6 linked regions of the Macaca mulatta genome follow. The protein of the gene in region 2 interacts with the protein of the main gene of each other region in a biochemical or structural test. Links are inferred from orthologs where the notes say so. Each region holds a gene or a part of one and is shown on either strand. Other genes may lie near its edges.

Region 1 (3,500 bases), on a different chromosome or scaffold from region 2:
TGCTTCTCTAGGTTGGCCATCATCAGTTTTCCCTTCCTTTTGTCCTTCATCCTCCGCCTGTGCACCCCACAGCAGCTGTCCTGCCATGGCCTTAGCCTGAAAGTGGGGGTCCCTGCAGATGTCAGCTTTCCCTCTGCATCTGGGCATCTAAGTCCTTTACCCCTCAAGACCACTGCTGGGCCTCCTTCTCCACCATCTCCTCTTTTAGTGGCCTTGCTTCTCTCCTGCCAAGAAAAACAGGAATGAAAAAGTCCATTATCCACTTTGGTCTGCTGGTCCTTGACTCCCTGGGTCGGTGAGACTTGTCTTCTGGGACTGAAGGAGAGGTAGCCCAGTGGCCGGAGGGAAGATAGCTGAGGGCTGTGACTGAACGTGAGGTGTGGAATCTGGCTCAGAGCCCCAGCCCTTCCCTCCAAACATCTGGTAGATAGTCAGGTCTAAAGGACAGGAAAAGGCTGAAGGATGCTTTTTGGCAATAGCTCCTAACTAAGGTGGGTGGAGGCATGGCCATTACTGATAAAAATCACAGCTGGGCCCCGAGTGGGCAGAGAAGGTGCCTTGATCAGGCCCTCACCTCCCAGGGGAAGGGTTCAGGGTCCCTGATGTCAAGTGCTTTGAAGGCTGAGACTGGCAGAGTAGAGAGGAGGTGAATGGAAGGAATAATGGGAGAGGGGAGAGGGGTAGGGGAGATGTGAAGGGCCAGCTCTGGAGACGCTGCCTCCTGGCCCCTCCCTGGGCTCTGCGGTGGCCCTCTCGTCACAGCTTGGCACCCTTGGAAGGCTCCGAGGACTGCCGCACGTCTGTCCACTCCTGCATGGTGTTCTGCAGGGCCTGGGTCTTCTCCTTGTCCACCTGAACATAGTCCACCTTCTCATCAGAAGTGACAGATGAAGTAGATGGCTGAGGGGACAGAGTGGGAAAGAGGGAGTAGCTGTGAGTTACCAGTTAGGTGGGGAGGAAGAAGATGGGCGTGGGATCTTCCTGAGCTGTCTGAAGGGGAGAAGAGCATGGCCTCTGCCTGCCACTGACCAGCCTCAGGAGCCTGGCTTCTCTTTCTGAATGTGGGCTTTAAAGCTCAGACTCCAAACTCATTATCCCTCCTGCAGGATGCGGCAGCCCCTGCCAGCCCTTCTTACTTCCCGGCTCCTGGGACGACCCAGGCCCTTCCTTGGCCCTGGTGGATGGGTCCAGGCCTTCATCTCTGCCTCCACCCATCTCTGTCAGGTTGCTCATCCAGGGGAAGGACTTTGCTGGGTGTAAACAAGCACCAGCCACAGGACTTTACGTGCTGTGCTCACCGCCACCCTGTGAAGGGGAACCATGCTGAGGCACAGCTCTGCACCCTGCTGTCTAGACTGCTTAGCTAAGGGTACCTCCTGGGGAGGCTTTCCCAGGCCTGGAAGTCCCTTGTGAAGGCTGATGTATTGACGGCAGGGCTCTGGGACACACCTAAGAGCCCAGGACCAGGAGGCAGTATCCTCATTCCTGGATCTGTTGCTGATTCACTTTGTTTAGCACAATCAGATCTCTATGCACTCATTTGCCCATCTCTACAACACGGGGGGTGGGCTGACTGATGAGGTTCTTTGAGGGTACTGTGCTCTGAGAGCAGGAATAGGAGTCTTTAGACCTAGGTGAAAGCTCTGACTAAAGATGCATCATAAAAGCTAGGTACTGGAGCAGGAGGGAGGCTGAGTGCTGCTGTTCAGTGTTGAAGGCACCCTGACCTCCATGATCTCTGCCTCTGGGGCCCTGAGAGCTCTTACTGTCCCCCCAACCTCTACTCCAGGCACCTTGCGGTGGGGGCTTGGGGAGCTCGGCTGGAAGTCCAGGGCCAGATAATCGACGCTGCCGGTGCTCTTCTTAGGGGCAGGACTGTTGGTGCCACTGGGAACGGGAGATGCAGACACTGGGTTTTGCTGTCACGAGGAGGAAAAATCCGTGAGTGTAGAGAACAGACTAACCCACCACCCAGAAAAATACCTCTGGGAGTAAGAACACTGGTTCCCTGAGCCCTACTCTGACTCATGCATCATGCTAAGGACTTTTCATGTTCTCATTTTAGTCCTCATGACAATCCTGTAATGTAGGTATGATTACTGTTGATATTGTTTAAAACAAATATGAAACTGTGGTTCACTTTACTTTCAGAGAAGTGACTTTGCCTGTAGTTGCACAGCTGCTGAGTGATGGGAATCAGGTCTATTTTCTGACTTCCAAACCTGTGCTAACCCCTGTGCCACACTGTCTCCTTTATAGCACATCAGGCCAAGTCTCATCAACAGGGGCTCTCCTGAGACACCCAGCCTTTGCTTGCTGGCGCTTAAGAAGGGAGCACATTTCCTTTATGCATTGGAAAGTTTTCTTCTGTTGCACCAAATCAGCCCCTCTGAAACTCCCACCTGTGGCCTGGAGTGGGGTAGTCACCCCAAAGCAGCTTGCTCCCCCACCTAGCTCCTCCAAGATCTGAACAGGCTTTATCTCCAGGCTGCACAAAGCCCGCATTTCTTCAGATGACACACTCTGGGATCCTGTCCATCCAGACTCCTGCTGTAGCAAAGCACCACCTCCTCTAGGACTTTCCTGAAGTCTTATTCTAATGAGAAGGTGATAGTCCTGTGTTCTGTTTGTTGGCTGCTTTATTGGTTGGTAATTCATTCTTTCACTGTCTATGCACAGTGACTACCAGGTGCTGGGCAGTTATGCCCTTAATGGAAATCTCAGGGAAGAAATATCCTCCTCTGCCTGTGCTGATAGCTCTATTACGGCCTCACCAAAGTGAGTTATGTGCATGTATGCCTCTCACCGCTGAGGAGATACCTCCAGCACTGACTATCCAAGGGCACACAGATCCTGCCACCTGTGTCACTGTCATGAGAGAGGCAGGCCCCTGCCCTTGAAGACCATGACTTCGTTGGGACAGGTCTCATGTCTTCCTTACATCTGATGACAACTCCTACTGCTTGATAAATAGGTGCTCAAGAAGGGTTTGTAGCAGGAGACTAAATCATGAATAATACAAGGAGTCCCTGGGCAGAGGTGAATTAGCTAAGCTGGGAAGTGGGGAACTGAGCGGTGGGTCCCAGGGGACTTTGATAGGAGTCATTCCAGCGAAGCCCGAAGGACTCACCATAGGGACGTAGTTCTCTTCGCTGTCTCCTGAGTCTGTGCTGGTGATGCTCTGGGTGGAGATGGGGCGGCAGTACTGGGAGGAGCTGGAGTTGAAGGTGTGGCTGTTGTGGGAAGGAAGAATCAACACTGGGGAAGCAGCGTGGCTGCTGCCCTGTTTCTAGCCTACAGCTGAGCCCTGACCCTCACACACCCAGACCTCAGCCATTAGAGCTGCACACTCCATCAGATTAAGATCTGATATAGGGCAAGTATAATTATTCTCTTTTATAGCTGAGGAAACCAAGCCACAAGAGATCAAGAGACATGATCAGCTAATGATAGCGTTAGCATCAGAATCCAGCTGTCCTGGCCCACAGGCCAGCTACCAT
Region 2 (3,934 bases):
GGGGATGGACTGGATGATCTCCGAGGGCCCTTTCTTCAGTTGTAACAGTCTGAGATGGACAGGTGTGATCCCAGAGCTTTGGGAGGCCGAGGTGGGAGGATCCTGTGAAGTCGGTAGTTTCAGACCAGCCTGGACAACATCGCAAGACCCAGTATCTACCAAAAAAAAATTATATTTTCTTTTTTTGAGATGGAGTCTCGCTCTGTCACCCAGGCGGAGTGCAGTGGTGCAATCTTGGCTCACTGCAACCTCCACCTCCTGGGTACCAAGCAATTCTCCTGCCTCAGCCTCCTGAAGAGCTGGGATTACAGGCGCCCACCACCATGCCCAGCTAAGTTTTGTATTTTTAGTAGTGACAGGGCTTCACCATGTTGGTCAGGCTGGTCTCCAACTCTGTCCTCAAGTGATCCGCCCTCCTCAGCCTCCAGAAGTGCTGAGATTACAGGCGTGAGCCATAGTGCCCAGTCCCCCAATTTTTTTTTTTAATTAGCAGGGCGTGGTGGAGCGCACGCATAGTCCCAGCTCTTTGGGAGGCTGAGGTAGGAGGATCACTTGACCCCAAGGAGGTTGAGAATGCAGTCAGTAAATATTGCACCACTGCACTGCAGCCTGGACGACAGAGTGAGACCCTGTCTCTAAAATAAAATAAAAACAGTCTAGGATTCTGAGAGGCATGGAATTAAAAAGAGCCTCTGTCAGAAGACATCATTTTGAGTCTCAGCTCTGTCATTACTAGTGACCTTACTCAAGTTAGTTAGCCCAACTCTCAGATTCCCCATCTGTAAAATTTGATTCATTTATTAGAACAGTTTTTTTAACCTAGGGTGATCTCGGGCCCAGGTTCTGGTGGGCTGCCGCACACATTGGCTGGGTGGCTCTGGTAGGTCACGCCCTGGCCGCTTCGCCTTCGAGAGGAGGGTGAGGACAGTCTCCGAGGCGGCGCTGCCGAGCCTCCCCGTGACTTGGTGACCGCGGAGCCAGCAGAGACCCCCGGGCTCCCGCACCTAGGGCGAGAAGGGCGGGCGCGCGCCCGGGGTGGGTCACGTGACGGCTCCAGGCCCGCGCGGGGCCGGGGGCGCGCGGGGCCGGGGCAGGGGCGGGGCCTGGAGCGCGCGGCCCTGCGGGTGACAGGCGGGCGGGAAGGGGCGGGGCCTCGGGCGGGGCCGCCGGGGGGAGGAGGGCGGCGGGAGGGGAGGAGTGGAGATGGCGGCGGCGGCGGCTCAGGGGGGCGGGGGTGGGGAGCCCCGGAGAGCCGAGGGGGTCGGCCCGGGGGTCCCGGGGGAGGTGGAGATGGTGAAGGGGCAGCCGTTCGACGTGGGCCCGCGCTACACGCAGCTGCAGTACATCGGCGAGGGCGCGTACGGCATGGTCAGGTGAGGGGGCGTTCCGGGGGAGGGGGCGCCCTCAGGGGAGGGGGCTTCACAGGAGAGGAGGGGGAGGCGCCGAGCGCTTTCCGGGACGTGGAGACGCGGAGCGTCCCGAGGAGGCAGGGGACTCGGGATGATCGGGAGCGTCCCAGGGAGGGGACCCCTGAGTGCTTTCTAGGGGAGAGGGCGCTGCCTGCGTCCTCAGGGGAGGGGGCTTGGAGGCTTTGAGTCCACCCTTCTGTAATGATGGGAGGGGCATCTGAGTGCATGTGGGGGCCCGCGGGGACCCTAGTGACACGGGGCGAGGCCCAGAGGATGAGTACTCTCGGGGAGGCGACATCCTTAGTGAAGAGGCAGTGGAGGGCCCGTTTTGGGGGAAAGGGTGTTTTGGATTCCCCCTGTGAGGCAGTGCCAGGGAGCCTGGGGTAGACGAGCCGAGATCAGGGTGGGGCAGGGCTTTGGCCCCACCACCACCACCACCAGGTGCCCAAAGAGAGATGAGGGGGCCAGGAGTGCCACTTGCATGTTTTGGGAGGGGTCTGTGAGTGCCCCCGGCCCCACCGTGAGCTCTGGGACAGCCCTGCTGCCCGCTTCCCTCACCCTAGGACCCGCCCCTGCCCTGTCCATTCTCTCCTGCCCCTCCCCTGGCTGCCGTTTTCCCAGTATTTGCTCCATGGTGTGCCCCCAGCATCTGCACCCCCGGACCTGTCTTGGGTTAAGGAACCTTTCCTGGGAATGGGGGCGAAGGGTTCAGGGCCAGTAGAATGGAAGGGGATTGAGGAGAGGGGAAGTCAGTGAGCGGTCAGTCTCTTCCTCTGTTTGTAAAGTCACCGAAGGGCCGCCTGGCTGGTCCCCAGCTTTCTCTCTGGAGATCCCAGCCCTACACAGCAGGAAGGAACCAGCATTGTTTATGATTTGACCAGAGCCAGCTCCTGCTCTCTCCCCTCCCTGCCAAGGCCTGGGTGGGGCCACCAGGCCCGGACTCCCCCTTTGTAAGGCCACAGCAGCAGCCTCTCTCCGGTCCCCTCAGCTCGGCCTATGACCACGTGCGCAAGACTCGCGTGGCCATCAAGAAGATCAGCCCCTTCGAGCATCAGACCTACTGCCAGCGCACGCTCCGGGAGATCCAGATCCTGCTGCGCTTCCGCCATGAGAATGTCATCGGCATCCGAGACATTCTGCGTGCGTCCACCCTGGAAGCCATGAGGGATGTGTATCCTTCACCTTGCCCAGTCGGCTGGTCATACACAGCCTCGGAGCTGGGCTGGGGACCCGTTGCTTGCTTTCTGTTTCCATCTTACCCACCACCCTCCAAAACAAACCCAGTAAAATAAACTTTCCTGCAGAGGAGAAGCCACAGTGTAACAGGACTTAGAGGCCTCTGATGAACCCAGGCCTGCTGCAGCCGGGCAATATGGCCTTGAGCAAGTCAGTTCTCTGCTCTGTGCCCCAAGGGGGAGGGCTAGACAGGATGGTCTCTATGGGAGTGTTGTCTTCTGACATCGGCAGTTCTGAGACATGACCCAGCTTCTGCCCACAGTCACTTCTTGCTAACAAATGGATGGTTCTTTCCTCTCTTTCCTCCTTCCCCAGACTGGAAGGGAGACAGGGAGAAAGCAAACTGTCAGCTGGGCATGGTGGCTTATGCCTGTAATCCCAGCACTTTGGGAGGCTGAGGTGGGCAGATTACCTGAGGCCAGGAGTTGGAGACCAGCCTGGCCAACATGGTTAAACCCTATCTCTACTAAAAGTACAAAAAAATTAGCAGGGCGTGGTGGCGCATGCCTGTAATCCCAGCTACTTGGGAGGCAGAGGCAAGAGAATCGCTTGAACCCAGGAGGCGGAGGTTGCAGTGAGCCAAGATCGTGCCACTGCCCTCCAGCCTGGGTAACAGCGTGAGACTCTGTCTCAAAACAAAACAAAAACAAAAAAACTGCCTTTCTTGAGGTCCTACTGCGTGTCAGGTACTATACATGCCCAATGCTTTTTTTTTTTTTTTCTATTACACCTCCCAACTACCCTATGAGATAGGCTTTGCAGCTTCATTTCAAAGATGAGGGCAGAGTGCAATGGCTTACGTCTGTAGTTCCAACACTTTAGAGGCCAAGACCAGAGGATCAGTGGAGGCTGGGAGTTCAAGACCAGCCTGGGCAGCATAGTGAGACCCCATCTCTACAAAAAATTTAAAAATTATCCAGCTTTGGTGGTGCATGACTGTAGTCCCAGCTACTTGGGATGCTGAGGCAGGAGGATGGCTTGAGCACAGGAGTTCAAGGCTGCAATGAGCTATGATTGTGCTACTGCACTCCAGCCTGGGGGACAGAACGCGACCCTGTCTCAAAAAAAAAAAAAAAAAAATGAAGAAGCTGAGGCCCAGAAAACCTAAAATCAAGTGTTTCTGTTGCTGTCTCCTCCTCCCCTCCCCCAGATGGAAACTTGTCCTTCTTAGGACTTCTCACTCAGAGCCACACCCTAATCACCTGTGGACTTGCACCTTGCCCAGGGAGGGACAGCCTAGCCTTTGTTGTCCTCCCCTGATACTGCTTTCCTAGTTTGCTGTCCACTTC
Region 3 (3,469 bases), on a different chromosome or scaffold from region 2:
CCTATAATGAGGTTTGTCACCTATACAATCTTTGCCACAATCCCTGACAACCTCTACTGTAGTTTCATGCCCACGTAGTCTCTCACATGCGGTTTGGGTCACTCGGTCTGTCTTGCTCACCATCAAACACTGATGGGGCTGCAGTCCCCACTCTCTTCTCGTAGATATTATTTTGTGCATACCATCACAGGTTCTTGTACAGTACCTTGACTACTCGTCCAGGCTCAGTTATTTTCTGAAACACGGCCGCGATTTCCCACAGAGACACACCATCAAAAGTCTGTGGTCACAACTTCTGTACTCTCTCACACACAATCACAGCTTTCCACATCTCTGACACACACGGTTACCAATATGCAGTCCCTACTACTGTTTCTCACACACGCCATCACACCACTTCTCTCACCATCAACCTCTGCCTCACGCCTTCCACACAGTCATGCTTGTCACACTCAGCTAGTCCTTACAACATCAGAGAAAAAGTGCCAGCAGCCTCCAGCATCACTTTGAAAAATATATATTTACAGGAACAATTCCCCAGTCTCTGGGACTCTTTAGAAAAAAAAAAGGTCCATTTCGGGGAAGTAAAACAAACAGTGGAGACGAGTGTAGCACCGTCCCCCAAATCACCAACCCCCAGGTCCCGAGGCCTGGGCTGGGCCAGCGCTAACAGGTGAGCCCGGGAGTCTTTTGAACCCGCTCTCTCTTGCCTAGAATAGAGACAGGACAGGCTTTATGTCCCCCATTCCTCCCTCCCAACTCCAGGGACATTGAAAGGGTCCTTTGTACCCGCCCGCAGGAAATTGGGGGGCTGGGAGGGAGGGAACTGAAAATACACGTTTGGTATCAAAAATAAACACTTGGAGGGGGGAGGCGGCAGGAAGATTCCCCCCCAAATCCCTTCCTTCCCACCCACCCCACCAAATATAGGAAGAGATGACTCCCTCTCCCCTATTGAAAAGCCCCATTTAAAAATAGATTATACTATCAAAATGGCAGCGGGGGAGAGACAGGGAGACCTGGAGAACTGGCTGGAGGGGCCCCCCAGACGGGGACCACCCCGCAAAAAAACCCTCCATTGGGAGGAAACAGGCAGGACCCCAGGGAGGTTGGCAGACAAAGGAATGGCTTTTCAGGGGGAAGAAGAAGAAAAGAGACATTCCTCCCTGGCCAAAGTTGGTTGAAAAAGGATAAGCTGTCTGAGAGAAAGGCTGGGGAGGTGGAAATTTCTATTCCAAGGGTGTGATTCTTCCTTGGCCAAGACTCCCAACCCATTAAATGGTACAAATTCTTCCTGGACCCCTGAGTATGGCCAGGAATAATAAAACAAAACAAACTAACTCTTCTACTCACATCTGAAAATGGAGACAGGGCTCCCTCATCTCCCCAAGGGCAGGCTGAGAAATAAAGAAAGAAAGGTCGTTCTCAAGCCAGACCCCGATTGTCTTGTGTTGGGGAAAAAAGTGGGGAGGTGGGGGAGATGTCCTAACCACCCTAAAAGGTTAGGTCAGGCTCCTCCCAGTGGCCTTCAAAAAATAAATAAATAAACCGCCCCTACCATTGATGTAGGAGACGTGTAAGGGCGGCCACTGGGGGACTGACGGAAAACAGAGACGTTGTGGAAGCTGTGTGTTTTCTGTGGAGGAGATAATGAGAATCACTCTTGGGAGTAATTCTTCCCAAGGATCCCCACCCCACCACAATCAGAGCATGAGTCTTTCAGTTGAACTATGTTTCTCCTTGAGATGGCTGGCTGGAGAGAGCATGGATGGAGTGACCCCAGAAGGAGGGGTGGTGGTGGTGGCGGTGGTGGTGGTAGTAGTCATGGCTTCTGGGGCCCTGGGGAGAGCACCACGGGGGTCGAGAGGCCATCCACGCTGATGGAAGGGATGTGCACCTGGGCGCTGCCACTGGATGGAAACTGGGGGTAAAAAGAGGGAGAGGTCACAGATGGGGGCCATTCTTGGGTCTGTCACCCTGTCCAAAATGGGGAAAGAGGATCCTACCTGGAAGGAGAGCTTGGCCGGGCTACGGGGCGCAATGGGACTCAGGGTGCTCCAGAAGTGAATGCTGGGAGGCAGCGAGCTGGGTGTCAGCAGCACCGGGGTCTGTGGGGAGAGGGTGGTCGGAGCTCAAGTGAGTAGAGAGTAGATGTGGGATGCTGGAAGGGACTTGGGCCTAGCCCCACCACAGATTCCCACTCACACTCCCAGGGTCACTCCCCAAAGTGCACACACCTAGATGGTAACTATGGAGGCCATGCCTACAATCTCTCAAACTCCGTATACACCCCCCACTCCCTATTCCCGAGAGCCCACCCTCAGTTAGAGACCTCATTGGTCAAGACGACCCACAAGACCCTATCCAAATGCTGCTCTCAAACCTCTCAAGTCACCATCCAAACAGCTCAGGGTCAACTTCTAACTCATGTCCCACCCGTGAAATCCCATATGCAAATCCCAGACCAAAAAGCCCTGCTCAGGTTCCTTAAGCCACACCCCAACCCAGAAACAGTCCCACAGAAAGCCCCTTGGTCCCACCCACAAAAGTCCGCAGCCCTGCCCTTCACTAATCAAACCCCATCCCTCCAGTCCAGCGTCAGCCCAGTCAATCACACTCGAAGGCTCCACCCTCTTCAGGGACAACCACATTCGCCCTCCTCTGATTCCCGTTAGTCACCTGCCACATGCCAGTCCCATTGGGGTTGGCACCCACCCATCCCACACCTCCCCAGGCACTCACCAATGTATGTGTAGGAAGTAGGGATGGAGTTAGCGCCGGCCCAGGCGCCTGGAGGCCGGAGCCAGTTCCCGATCCTGGGGTCCGTTCGGGTCCTGGCCCACCTAGCAGGCTTGGGCTGAGTGGAAGCTCTAGGTCCCGGGGCTTCCGGCCCTTTTGTGGCTGGGAGATCTCAGGGCTGGAAGCCACGTGGCCGCCCGCCTGCCCTGCGGTGTCCATAACAACCGCGGGCAGCCGGGCTGGCACGCCCTCCTGTGGAGGGACTTCTGGCTCGGCCTTGGTAGTTTCCGGCACAAACCCTCTCTCCCTGGCAACTTCCAACTCTTCCTTGGGCCCTTCCACTTTCACTTCTGGGGGCAAAGCCCGGCCCAAACCTGGCTCCACATTCAGCTCTTCCGATTTCAGGTTTGGGGCCTCGGGCGGAGTCAGGATGACCTGGGAGAGGAGCAGGTACAAAGAGGGTAAGGATTGTTGGGGCCACAGGATTCTCCTGTGGGCTACCCAGTGATTTCCCCGGGAAAGTGGCACTTGGTACTGGGGACATCAGAGCAGGTTCTCCAACAGGACATAGGACTTCATCAAGGAAGTAGGGCTTCCTCTGGGGCAAGTCCTCCTATGGGACAGGGGACTTGGGGTAAGACAACCTGAAGCAGGTGGGAATCTGAGGGATATCATCCTCATTCATTAAAACAGTGGTTCTCAAAAATTTACCTTCCTCTGAACCAGCAAC
Region 4 (4,080 bases), on a different chromosome or scaffold from region 2:
GTAGACAATGACATTTGTGGAGGCAGACACCTCCACAAAAATAAATAAGGTATATTCTCATATGTATATGTGTCGTCGGGAATGATAATACTGGTAGGTATGTCAAGCATGAAGAGATTCTACAAAAAACAGGAGCGAGCAAAAAGAAACTGGCTCACACACTGAGTCCTTTCTCTTCTGCCCCATTTTGTCAGAGGGACTTGATGTACCCACTACATATTGGTCCCGAATGTGCTGAGTTCAGCAGATGTCTTGACGCTAAGTCATCACAACGACTGCTTAGGAACCCAGTGGAACTCGGGTGAAGTTAAATAAATAAAGACCAGCCCTCTCGAGCCCCTCCCAGAGTTACTGCATTTCTCCTCTCAAGGAGCCTGGAGTCCCAGTGGGATGTGAAGAGCCTCACCTCCCACAGCCTTTCAGCAGCTGGGAGAGGTCGTGATGGGACTCTGAAGGTAGCTCAGCGCACTGTTCGTGGAGTGGACAGGGATGGAGACGGGGAAGTTGAACACAGTGGTGGTGGAGGTGCCTCGGTCGAGCACAGCCATGGCGGGGCTCCCAGCCTCTGCCGAGCAGTGTGGGGCCAGCACCTGGGACTCAAACTGCAGCAGCTGGCCCATGAAGCTGAAGTTGGGGGAGATGATGCTTCGCCTCTGCTTCACAAACTCAAAGGCCTCGTCTAGCTTGACTCGGTTAGTCCTCATGAGGTAAGCAAGGCAGATAGTAGCTGACCGGGAAATGCCCGCCTGGCAGTGGACAAACACCCTTCCTCCAGCATTCTTGATGGAGTCTAGAAAACAAAAGGAGCGGCTGGTTACTGGAGAGCTCAGGAGAACCACCCCAAGCCCAGGTACAGTGTATCTGAGAAAGGTCATGTGTGTCTTGTCTAGAAATGGTCAACATCACCACACGCCATCACATGGCTACTGTTCATGGAAGCAACTTGGGCACTGCGCAAAGGATGGCACAGGATTTAAACTCAGACTGGGGATTTCCACTCAGCAGATAGATCTCACACCAGTCAATTCAACTTTGTGAGCCCCAGTTTGCAAATCTGTAAAGTGGGACATTGAATCAAATTCACATTTTGCAGGAATGTTGCCCACACCAGACTGATACTGAATGTCTGGAAGAAGGCTCATAAGACTTCAAGCTCTTGCCACAGAGGTTGGGCTTAGGGGCTAAAATGAGAAGAGAGAGGCAGAAAAGCCCCAGGCATCCATTCCATTTACCTATGAAGTCAATGGCCTCGTTGAACCAGGAGCTGATGTCTGCCTTGTGGTTGTCCTCCACAGGGATGCTCTTGTATTGGTAGTGACCCTCAAAATGGTTGGGACAATTGGCTGAGACGTTGATCAAGGCAGTGATGCCCAAGGCATCCAGCATGTCCTTGCGGGAAGCGTGATAGGCACTGCCCAGGTACAGAAAGGGCAGGATTTCCACCGGGCCACCCTGAAATCCAGAAATATCCAACATTCATCAAGCTCGCTCAAAGCCAAGGCCAGTGCCCACACCCACAAAAACTTTCTGCTGGAAAAGTCAATTTCAGATAGCGAGTGAACTCAGTTCTGTTGCTGGAGGATAAATAAATAGGGAACTAAGCCCATTTGCCTGGGCAGGACCAGCAAATTCATTTCTGTAGAGCCTACAATCATATCCCTGTGTCCCCTCCGTTATAAATAATGCTGCAGGTCACTTTCTATATTCTCCCTGGCACCACTCCTCCGTGCCTTTGCCAGTTCTTACTTCTCCCCTGTGGCAGGGACACCTACTAACCTGATCGTAGAGTGGGGTACTGCAGGAACTGCACCCAGATTCCGCGCTGTCAGGGACGCTAGTACTCAGGGGAAGGCTGAGCCCCATGGGGGTCGACTGTTTGCTGCACAGCTCCGGGCAGGAAGCCGAAAACGCTTCGTATCCTCCTGGGAATACAAAGACATTTTTTTTTTCCTCAGTGACGCCGGGACAGGGCACCTTCATACGACTCCCCCACCCACCAAGGGCTGGAAGTTTACAGCGGAAAGGCCCAGGCAAGTCTTTGTTCCCAGAGCCAAACAAAGCCAATGACAAGTTCCAGAGATAAATGTACTCCAGCGCCCACGCGCTGCAGGTGGGGCGACCCCCCGGGAGCCAAGAGCCGAGGGTACCGGGCAAAATCTCAGGGGTGTGCGGCCCGCCCCGAGCTTCCCCGAGGGCGTACCTTTGAGGAAGAAGACTTGCGCGGCGCGCGCCTCGCGGCAGAGCGCACCGGCCGCCAGAGTCAGGGTGCCGTCGCGCCTGGCGCCGTCCAGGGCGGCGCTGCGCTCGTCCAGCAACACCACGGCGTGGTAGGCGCCGGCCAGCAGGCGGCCGCGCAGCTCGGCGTTGGGCACGATGTGCTCCAGGCCCATGGCGCCCTTGGCCCGGCGCCGCACGATGGTGCTGAAGCGCACGTTGACAGAGCCGGCGATGTGGCCGGCGTTGAAGGCGAAGAAGGAGCGGCAGTCCAGCAGCAGGCATTGCGCCGCGCGCTCCCTCAGCAGCGCCCGCAGGCCTCCAGCGTCCAGGGTGCCCACTTCCATGACCATGGCCGGCCTCAGCGCCCCCAGCGTGATCAGCCCTGCGGTGCTCTTTGTCCTCGGGGCCAAGGGCAGGGCGGCGCCTTTCGAGGAAAAGCTAGACCCCCGGGTCGCTCTGCGCCGAACCAAAAGCTGCTTTTGGACTGAGAGAGGAGCGTCACGCGGGGCTCTGGGCTCCTCGGCTTCTTCGCGGTTGCCCCGACTGCCCCTTCGAACCACGTCGCACACACAGCCCGAACGTCCTTCGCAGCGAGCCCTATCCGGGGAGCTCGTTTATATGAGGCCTCTGGGCGACGGGGCGGGCCTGACCCGCGCGCAGGGGGAGGAGGGTGTTTGTTTGAATGGTGATCACGTGACGGGGCGGTGACGTCACCCGCCCTGCCCGGCCCGGCGCCGCCGAGCTACAGGGGAAGACGTCATCAGCCTCGGAGCTGGGTCCGCTTGCTGCGCGCTGGCTCGCGGCCCGGCCCCCGCCCTGCCGTCCGGCCTGCTCTTGGCGCGTCCCCAGGGACTGGGCCCGCGCCGCGCTCCGGGCCCAGCGGGGAGGCGGAGGGCTCGCTGCCAGCTGAGGCTGACCTCTGGGATGCGAGCGGCCGGGAGAATGGGCGACGTGCCACCTGCCTTGGCCTCGCCGCTCCTCCGTCTCTCCCTCCCCGAGTCCCCTTCCCCGTGCCCCTCGGCCTTCGACCTGAGCCGAAAGGGGCTTCCTGCGCTTTTGCATACTCTTGTGCCCCTTTCTCTCATTTCCTCATCACTAACAGGCGGGGAAACTGAGGTTCCCCAAGCGAAGCTACTGACTTGCCCAGAACCACACTACTGGGGTGTGGGGTGGGGCGGCGCGTGGGGCAGCACAGAGGCGCCTAAGATGAAGTTTGGAGAAAAATGAACAGCTCTGCCGATAGAAAAGTCGTTCCTACCAAAAACGACTCGAGCGAGTTGGGGCGGAGAGGTTCAGGGCAATGCTTTCCTGTTTCCCCGACTTTCTTTAAGGTGGCTTTAAAATATCTACATTTGCCATGAAAGTGTAAGCGAGCAAACCCCCACCGGGAAATAATGCTATTCCTAGTCTGTGGCCCCTGGAAGACTTGGAGCCAAGGAAGGCAGGTCAAGGGGCTGAAATCCCGGTCGGGGGTCGCAAGGCCCCGCGGTGGATTCCCGGGTTTGGCGTTTGGAGGGGTGAGGGGCGACCCGCAGCGCGACTCGACGGCTCCCCCCAGGGGCCGCCCGACACGTTTCTGTCACCTTGGCTCCAGACCGAGCTTCTCCATCCCTTTATTACACAAATAGGCAGTATACTGAGTGAGCGCCCACTAAGCGCTGGGCTGGGGGGCTCCAACCCGGAACAGAAGCCGGCCCCAACCCTCGCTCCCTGTCGTCGCTTCCGTTATAGGCTGAAGGCAAAATCCAATCCCGGGCCGTTGTGGGCGGACTGCCAGGACATGGATCGCAACGCTTGGGAAGACCCCCCGCCCCCAACGCCCAGCGATATCCATGCCCTGAGTCCCAGTGACGGCCCCCTGGA
Region 5 (3,500 bases), on a different chromosome or scaffold from region 2:
CCAATTCTGCACAAGTGGAAGTGGAGACTGAGGCCAGGTCCTGCCCAAGGTGACCCAGCTGGGAAGCACGGGACCTGGACTTGGATCTGACTTGTGGGCCAGTGAGCCTCCTGGCTCAGAGGGTCACTGCCTTTAGGGAGGGAGAAACTAAAGAGCAGCTTACCCAGTGGGGGAGATGGTCAGCACCCCAAATCTGTCAGCCAGCCAGCATTACATCCAGGGAACAAGCTGGAACCTGGATACAGTGACTTGTGACCCCTGAAGTGCCACCCACAGCCCTTTTATCCCAGGCTGGAGGGTGTGCCAGGCACCGCACAGAAGGTGGGCAAGGGAGGCCCATTAGACTGAGGCCAGGGGCCCTCTCAGCAGTTGGGGGGCTGCCCTCAGTCCCTGGCCCACTGCCTGCCAAGTCACGCAGCCCCTTGGCTGGACACCACAGCAGTCGCACTACAGACCCTCACACACCTTGTGCTGGGTGGTACCAATCTGTGTTTATTGAATAACCTATGTCTGGGACACGGTGACTGACTGAACATCAAAGAAGCCATAGGTGTATCCCCCTTTTCAGTGAAAAACCACCCTCTCCCACCCCCAAACAACAGTGAGAAAAGGCACAGGACATACACACAACACGCAGGTGGGCAGGGTCCATAAATTACAGTGAGAGTAGGGGAGGGGCAGGAGAAAAAGCAAGCAGGTGGGGTCCAAGCACACCCCAGGGACAACATTCCAGCCTGCATCGAGGTGGCCCTGTTGTGAGCACCCCCCAGTCTGTGCTGGGGCACCTGCCCATCCTCTGCTACAACCAGCCTGAGGACGAGGCACAGGGAGGCAGGACCCTTGTCACTCAGGAGGCCCTGGGAGAAACAGTCTCTGGGAGGTGCTGCACCAGGGGGTCCAGAAAAGTAGGACTTTTTCTCCTAGGACACACATCAAGGCAGGGGACCTCATTCCTAGTGCCCACCATAGGCAACCCTCTGCCCACTCTGAAAAGAAGGGCTTGCCGCTGGGGAGGGATTAGGGGTTGGTCCTTGCCGCCCTGGTTTATTTTTGGGTCAAGAATTAGTGATAAAAATATACAGATATGCAACTTACCATGGGGTTACTTCCTGATAAACCCATCATAAACGAAAATATCATAAGTAAAAAATTCATTTAATACCCCAAAAGACCAACTGTAAAGTTGAAACATGGTTGAAGTTGAACCATTGTTAAGTTGGGGACAGTCTGTACTGTGGAAGTGGGAGCTGGGGTAGGGGAGGAGGGAACCTAGAAGCCATGCTGAAGGCACCTGGTCCCCAGTCCCAATGGGTGGCTTCATTTCTCCCAGCTCCCTGGGCCCAACCTGAGCTTGGGCTGACATCCTAGGAGGCGGGGAGTGGGAAGGAACAGGACAATTAAATAAGATACCATTTATTTTTTTAAAAAATTAAAAAATGCTGACATTATTTCATCCATCTGCAGGCCTACCCCCTGCCTCCCACCAGCCTCCCAGGGCTGGGCCCCCTCCTCCCCTGGATGTCCTGTGTAATAAAAGGAAAAACAATGAGCAGGCTCAGCCAGCCACAGGGGAGGGAACGTAGACCCAGGGAGAGAATCAAGACGCTACAGCAACTCAGCCTCGCATCATGGCAAACCCAAGCACACTGGTAGAAAACATTGGTATAAAAAGGGGGGAGGGCATGCCGGGCACGGGCCTGAGGGCAACTGCTCCCTGGTGCTCAGAGACTGCTGTCCCCCAGAGGAAGCCTGATAAAAACTGAGGAAGCAAAAAGGAGAGAGTAGGGTTCAGGAGAGAGAAACTCAGGAAGGCTGGAGGCAGGGGCTTGGCAGCTTGGGAGCTCCCCCTGCTGCTATCAAGTCAGAGCTGCCCAGTTTCTGCCCTGCTACCTTTCCTCTTATGCCCACCAGGCCCTGGACCATGGGCATCTAGTGACAGCAGCTTTAAGGGGCTCTGCCCAGGGGCCTGCTGGCCTGAGGTGGCCCAGAAGCCTCGGCAGGTGACAGCTAAGATGACAAGGCTCCTCCCCACCTCTCTCAGTGGGAGGATGCTGGGGGAGAGAGGAACCGAGAGAGAAGTGGAGGGGTGGGCTGAGCCTGGTGGTCAGGAGGCGGCAATAGCAGTGCCACCACCCAGCTTGACAATCATCTGCTGGCAGTCGTTGCAGGAGCGCCGGTCACCCACCTTCTCCAGGGTGCGGGCAGCCTCGGCCAGTAGCACTGCCCGCTGGCCCGGGGAGGAGAGGAAGGAGAGGGGCAGGTGGCGGCAGGCCAGCAGGATGGCGGTGGCCCGCTCTCGCTGGCCAGGCCAGGCATCCACCTCTCCTGTGGGAAGGAGATGTGTGTCAGAACCGAGAGTCTGCCATGAAGCCGGTGCTGTTCCTTGGCGTTATCTAGACTCATTCACTGAACACTGACACCCATCCTGGGAGGTGGGGTCTGCTGCCCCACCCAATCCATGGAAAAGAAGTGGATTTGTCCAGCCTCTCACAGCCAGCCCATGGTGGGACTGAGATGGACCCACATGACCTGGCTCGATGCGTGCGCCTGTGTGGGGACGCCACCCCAACCCTCCTTCCCTGAGCAGAGCATGACCCATGACCACCCCAACCCCTGCAGCCCACCAAGGGCGGCCCCAGGCTTCTTTCATTCTCAGGCGAGGTGTGCTGGGCACCGCTGCCAGGTGTGGGAGTTGGGCTGGCCCCTTCCCTCCTCTCTTCCCAGGGGTTAGGGCCCAGCCCAGCCTGTGAGCTGGGGAGTGGTGGACTCACCGTGCTTGGCGCTCTGTGTGGTGCGCCGCCGCAGGCTGTGTTCCAGCAGCTGGTGGGTGCGGGTGGGGCTGGCTCCTGCCATCAGGCGCACAGTTGCTTCGTGCAGGAACACCTGGGGAGGCGCCGGGGTGACATCCCTCATACCCCTGGTCCCCACCTGTCTATGCCCAGGGTAGTTCTCCCTGAGCCATCTCGCCTGCCACCTGATAACATCCCTTCCCACACCAACTTGCCTTGCTCACCCCTGAAAAGTGAACTTTGTTGTCCCCTACTCTGACCGTGAGCCAGGCTGGAAACCTGGCTGAACAGCAGGAGCAGGACGAGAGGCGAGAGGCGAAAGAGGCAAAAGGCCTGCTTTTCCCAACTGGTGACAAGAAAGCCCTGGATGTACCTTGTGGGGCTGGCAGACAAGTGTCCTGGGTGAAGCCCCAAGGCCCTGGAGGCTGCTTCAAGTTTGACAAAAGGACAGGTGTGACAGGGACAGAGGGGTGAGGAGGGACAGTTGGGCTGGTACCAGAGAGGTTTGGTATCCTCTTTCTGTATCTTTAGAAAGGAACAGAGTCTAGAGGTGTGCAGGTAAAGTCTGCAGCGCTTAGGTATGAGCCACTGGTGGGTGAAGGGCAAGGCCGAGGTCTGCCATTTCTTAAAATCTCAAGCTCTTTTTGATGCCTTTATATCTCAGTCTTCAGGGAGGGTCTTCAGTGCTGCCAAGTGGATTCTGGTCCTGGT
Region 6 (3,500 bases), on a different chromosome or scaffold from region 2:
AACGGGGTTTCACCATGTTGGCCAGGCTGGTCCCGAACTCCCGACCTCAGGTGATCCACATGCCTCGGCCTCCCAGAGTGCTGGGATTACAAGTGTGAGCCACTGCACCCAGCCTTAGATCAATTATTTTGTAACCTCCCATAGTTCTGTTGGGGCCACTTACTCCCCAAGTACTAAATCACCCAAAAGAGCTTTGGAAATGTAGCTAGTGGAAGGTGGTAGGTAGGATCCCTCTAGGGGGCAGGGAGGGGGCTGCCTGGCGCGTGACAAATTTATTTTTCTACACTCATTCACCACTTATTTATTCAGCACCTACTATGTGGCAGGTACTATAGCAGGTGGTGGGGAAACAGACTTAAAGCAGACATGGTTCCTCTCTCAAGGAGCTCAAAGCCTGGATGTCTAAACACAGAAGCACAATCAAGCATTAGAATTGTAGTGCTCACTACCATGTCCGGCTCTGTCAACGGAATAGCCCATTTAATGCTCATAAGAACCTCAGGGAGAAGGCACTGTTATCCCCATTTTACAGAGAGGGAAACTGAGGCACAGAAAGGTTAAATGGCTTCTTAAGGTTGCCTGGCTAGTACCTGGGCTGGGTGCAGACCCAGTTAGTCTGGTTCCAGAGCCCATTTGTAACCAGTTGGCTATGTACACCCCCACCACAGCTTAGGGAGCATGGGGCCAAATGGAATGGAGGGGAGACAAACACTGCAGAGGGTGTGAAAGATGAGAGGGCGCATTTCTCCAGAAAAGGTGGGAAAGAGCATTCCAGAGGGAACAGCATGGCTATGAAACCACCAGTCTATTTGGGGAAGCTGCTGGCAATTCGATATGGCCAGAGTCAGGGAGGAGGTCATAAGTTGAGGCAGGAGAAGCCGGCAGGGGCCAGAGCATGGAGGGGTTCCTTGCTTTGCCAAGAGGTTTAAATCCTCCTTCATCTTCCTCCCCCTGGGGCTGCCATTTGGTTGGTTAATCATCCCCACCATTGTCTCCCGTCCAGGTCTGTGGCTCAGGATATCCCCAAGCTGCAGAAACTAGGCATCACCCATGTTCTGAACGCGGCTGAGGGCAGGTCCTTCATGCACGTCAACACCAATGCCAACTTCTACAAGGACTCCGGCATCACCTACCTGGGCATCAAGGCCAATGACACACAGGAGTTCAACCTCAGCGCTTACTTTGAAAGGGCTGCTGACTTCATCGACCAGGCTTTGGCTCAAAAGAATGGTAAGCGACCTCCCGCCAGGAAAAGATGGGAGGCAGCTTTGACTAGACTATCCCTCTGGAAAACAGGCCCACAACAGGTGTCTTCTTGGAAACCTCCTTGTTTCCCATCTTCTGGGGTGAATGACAGAGCTGTAGGTCTCTCTCTGCTCACCTGGCTGCCTGTCAAGTGGCCCCATGTGTCACAGGATGTGCAACTCATTCACACCGTGGCAGCCCCAGGGTCCTTGCATTTGATTGCACTTTGGCTGGAGGTTGGTTTCCAGTTGCTTACACATCCCCCATTCGAACAGCTGTAACGATGAGGAAGACGTGTTCATGTGTTCATGTGCATGGCAGGAAGTCCTGAGGTGAAAGAGCATAGGGGCTGGTTGATTCAGCAGTTCCGTGGTAGCATCTGGACCAGGCCCTTTCCCTTTCTCTCTTCTGCCACCTCAGTGTTGGGTGCTCCCGTCCTGGTCCCAAGATGGGATCCGGTCACCACATCCAAGCAGGACAAAGTACAGCAGATGAGACACTGCAGCTATCTCTTCCCACCTTTTCTCTCTCTCTCTCTCTCTCTTTTTTCTGAGACGGAGTCACACTCTTGTTGCCCAGGCTGGAGTGCAATGGCGCGATCTCGGCTCACCGCAACCTCCACCTCCTGGGTTCAAGTGATTCTCCTGCCTCAGCCTCTTGAGTAGCTGGGATTACAGGCATGTGCCACCACGCCTGGCTAATTTTGTATTTGTAGTAGAGATTGGGTTTCACCATGTTGATCAGGCTGGTCTCGAACTCCTGACCTCAGATGATCCGCCCACCTCGGCCTCGGCCTCCCAAAGTGCTGGGATTACAGGCATGAGCCACCGCACCCAGCCACTCTCTCTTTTTTAAAGAGACAGGGTCTTGCTACATTTTCTAGACTGGTCTCCAACTCCTGGCCTCAAGCAATCCTCTCACCTCAGCCTCCTGAATAGCTGGGACTACAAGCCCATGCCACCATGCCTGGTCTCTCTCTTTTTTTAAGAACAAGTAAAACATTTCCCAGAAATTCCCCTCACATCTCATTGGCTAGAGATTCATGTGACTGCCTGGCAAGGGGAAAAGGGGTAGCTGTGGTCGGCTTAGGTTGGCAGTCAGCAAACCACAGCCCCCCCAGCCAAATCTTCCAGCCACTTAAAAAACACTTTCTGCAGCCCCCAAAGGTAAGGTAAGACTGAAGGAGAACTACCAAGGTGCTGGCAGTCACCAAGGCGTTACAGCAAGAAACCCTAGAAGGCCACAAAGCAGACATCAGCTGAGCAGGCTGGGCCACTCGCCCTTTCTCCCTTTCTGCTTTTAGCTATTTCTCTCAGCTCCTCCCTTAGCCTCTTCCTCCCTCCCCACCCCAAACCCTCCCAGCGGAGGGGACCCCCATGAGGTGTGATCAGCCTTGGCTCTACTACTCTGATGATTCTTGGGCCCAGCAACCTCACCGTCTGAATTATTTCCAGTAAACACAATTTTCTAGACCACTGGACAGTGCACGCTCAGGGCTCAGAGAGAAGCTTTACTGTGGGAGTATCTGCAGACTTTGCTGACAGGCCCCTCATGGTCCTTGCCGGTCACTGTCACCCCCCACCCTGCCCACGCCCTCCACTCCAGCTGTACTGAGCTCCTCACCCTGTGTAGACATAGGCTGAGTGAAGGGGAAGGATTTTGTTGTTCTCATGTAATATCAATTGGTCATTCATTCAGGGAATTTCAAGCTCTCTGACTTTGTTTCCACTTCCCAAAACCTAGGAACATTCTCTTTTTTTGACCTCCTGTCTCAGTCCAGGTGTGCTGGGTCTTCAGTCTGAAAAGTTCTCTATGCCTCTCCCTACCCGGTCCTCTGGCAAACTCCACCTCGTCCTTGGCATGGTGTCCTCTCTTCCATGAAGCCTGCCCACAGGCTGGGTCCACTTTGTTCCTTGTCCGTCTCCTTAGCACATAGTAGGTACACCACAAATGATTAATGAGCAAGTGATGAAGAATTCCATGGGCTCTAATGCCAAGTATAAATGCTTCCAAGAATGAGTGGCTAAGTGAGTCAACAGAAACATGCTGGCCTCCGACAGGGAGTGGGGTCCAGGGACCCATCACTGAGAGCTAGGTGGGATGGCTGAGGATGCTCAAGAGGGAGCAGTCACTTCCAGCTGGGAAAACCAAGGGAGGCTTCATGGAGGAGGTGGCATCTGGGCTGGGCTTAGAGGAATGGGAGGTTGAACTGGCCCCTTTTCCAGTAGGCTCTGTGTGCACTGGGCATGCAAAGT

Evidence for each region.
Region 1: of the proteins of MAPK3 (region 2) and GAB2, one has a biochemical effect on the other in vitro, tested with the Homo sapiens proteins (2 studies listed by BioGRID). The link is inferred for Macaca mulatta from reciprocal best matches to the Homo sapiens genes MAPK3 and GAB2.
Region 3: of the proteins of MAPK3 (region 2) and ELK1, one has a biochemical effect on the other in vitro, tested with the Homo sapiens proteins (6 studies listed by BioGRID and IntAct, with this or other methods). The link is inferred for Macaca mulatta from reciprocal best matches to the Homo sapiens genes MAPK3 and ELK1.
Region 4: of the proteins of MAPK3 (region 2) and DUSP1, one has a biochemical effect on the other in vitro, tested with the Homo sapiens proteins (2 studies listed by BioGRID and IntAct). The link is inferred for Macaca mulatta from reciprocal best matches to the Homo sapiens genes MAPK3 and DUSP1.
Region 5: of the proteins of MAPK3 (region 2) and SREBF2, one has a biochemical effect on the other in vitro, tested with the Homo sapiens proteins (2 studies listed by BioGRID). The link is inferred for Macaca mulatta from reciprocal best matches to the Homo sapiens genes MAPK3 and SREBF2.
Region 6: of the proteins of MAPK3 (region 2) and DUSP3, one has a biochemical effect on the other in vitro, tested with the Homo sapiens proteins (2 studies listed by BioGRID and IntAct). The link is inferred for Macaca mulatta from reciprocal best matches to the Homo sapiens genes MAPK3 and DUSP3.

The regions. Positions count from the first base shown.
Region 1 is NC_133419.1:78,647,259-78,650,758, forward strand, and holds part of GAB2 (GRB2-associated-binding protein 2), read right to left. Parts: intron 3,234-3,500; coding exon 3,131-3,233; intron 1,920-3,130; coding exon 1,794-1,919; intron 901-1,793; coding exon 757-900; 3' UTR 1-756. UniProt on the Homo sapiens protein: Adapter protein which acts downstream of several membrane receptors including cytokine, antigen, hormone, cell matrix and growth factor receptors to regulate multiple signaling pathways.
Region 2 is NC_133425.1:28,437,172-28,441,105, forward strand, and holds the start of MAPK3 (mitogen-activated protein kinase 3), read left to right. Parts: upstream 1-1,134; 5' UTR 1,135-1,203; coding exon 1,204-1,373; intron 1,374-2,397; coding exon 2,398-2,580; intron 2,581-3,934.
Region 3 is NC_133426.1:47,658,531-47,661,999, forward strand, and holds the end of ELK1 (ETS domain-containing protein Elk-1), read right to left. Parts: intron 3,175-3,469; coding exon 2,743-3,174; intron 2,109-2,742; coding exon 2,007-2,108; intron 1,922-2,006; coding exon 1,823-1,921; 3' UTR 501-1,822; downstream 1-500. UniProt on the Homo sapiens protein: Transcription factor that binds to purine-rich DNA sequences. Forms a ternary complex with SRF and the ETS and SRF motifs of the serum response element (SRE) on the promoter region of immediate early genes such as FOS and IER2.
Region 4 is NC_133411.1:181,644,710-181,648,789, forward strand, and holds the start of DUSP1 (dual specificity protein phosphatase 1), read right to left. Parts: upstream 2,801-4,080; 5' UTR 2,568-2,800; coding exon 2,201-2,567; intron 1,923-2,200; coding exon 1,777-1,922; intron 1,453-1,776; coding exon 1,233-1,452; intron 791-1,232; coding exon 420-790; 3' UTR 1-419. UniProt on the Homo sapiens protein: Dual specificity phosphatase that dephosphorylates MAP kinase MAPK1/ERK2 on both 'Thr-183' and 'Tyr-185', regulating its activity during the meiotic cell cycle.
Region 5 is NC_133415.1:9,594,597-9,598,096, forward strand, and holds the end of SREBF2 (sterol regulatory element-binding protein 2), read right to left. Parts: intron 3,016-3,500; exon of another isoform or gene 2,929-3,015; coding exon 2,772-2,928; intron 2,326-2,771; coding exon 2,105-2,325; 3' UTR 473-2,104; downstream 1-472.
Region 6 is NC_133421.1:68,123,872-68,127,371, reverse strand, and holds part of DUSP3 (dual specificity protein phosphatase 3), read left to right. Parts: intron 1-1,003; coding exon 1,004-1,230; intron 1,231-3,500. UniProt on the Homo sapiens protein: Shows activity both for tyrosine-protein phosphate and serine-protein phosphate, but displays a strong preference toward phosphotyrosines. Specifically dephosphorylates and inactivates ERK1 and ERK2.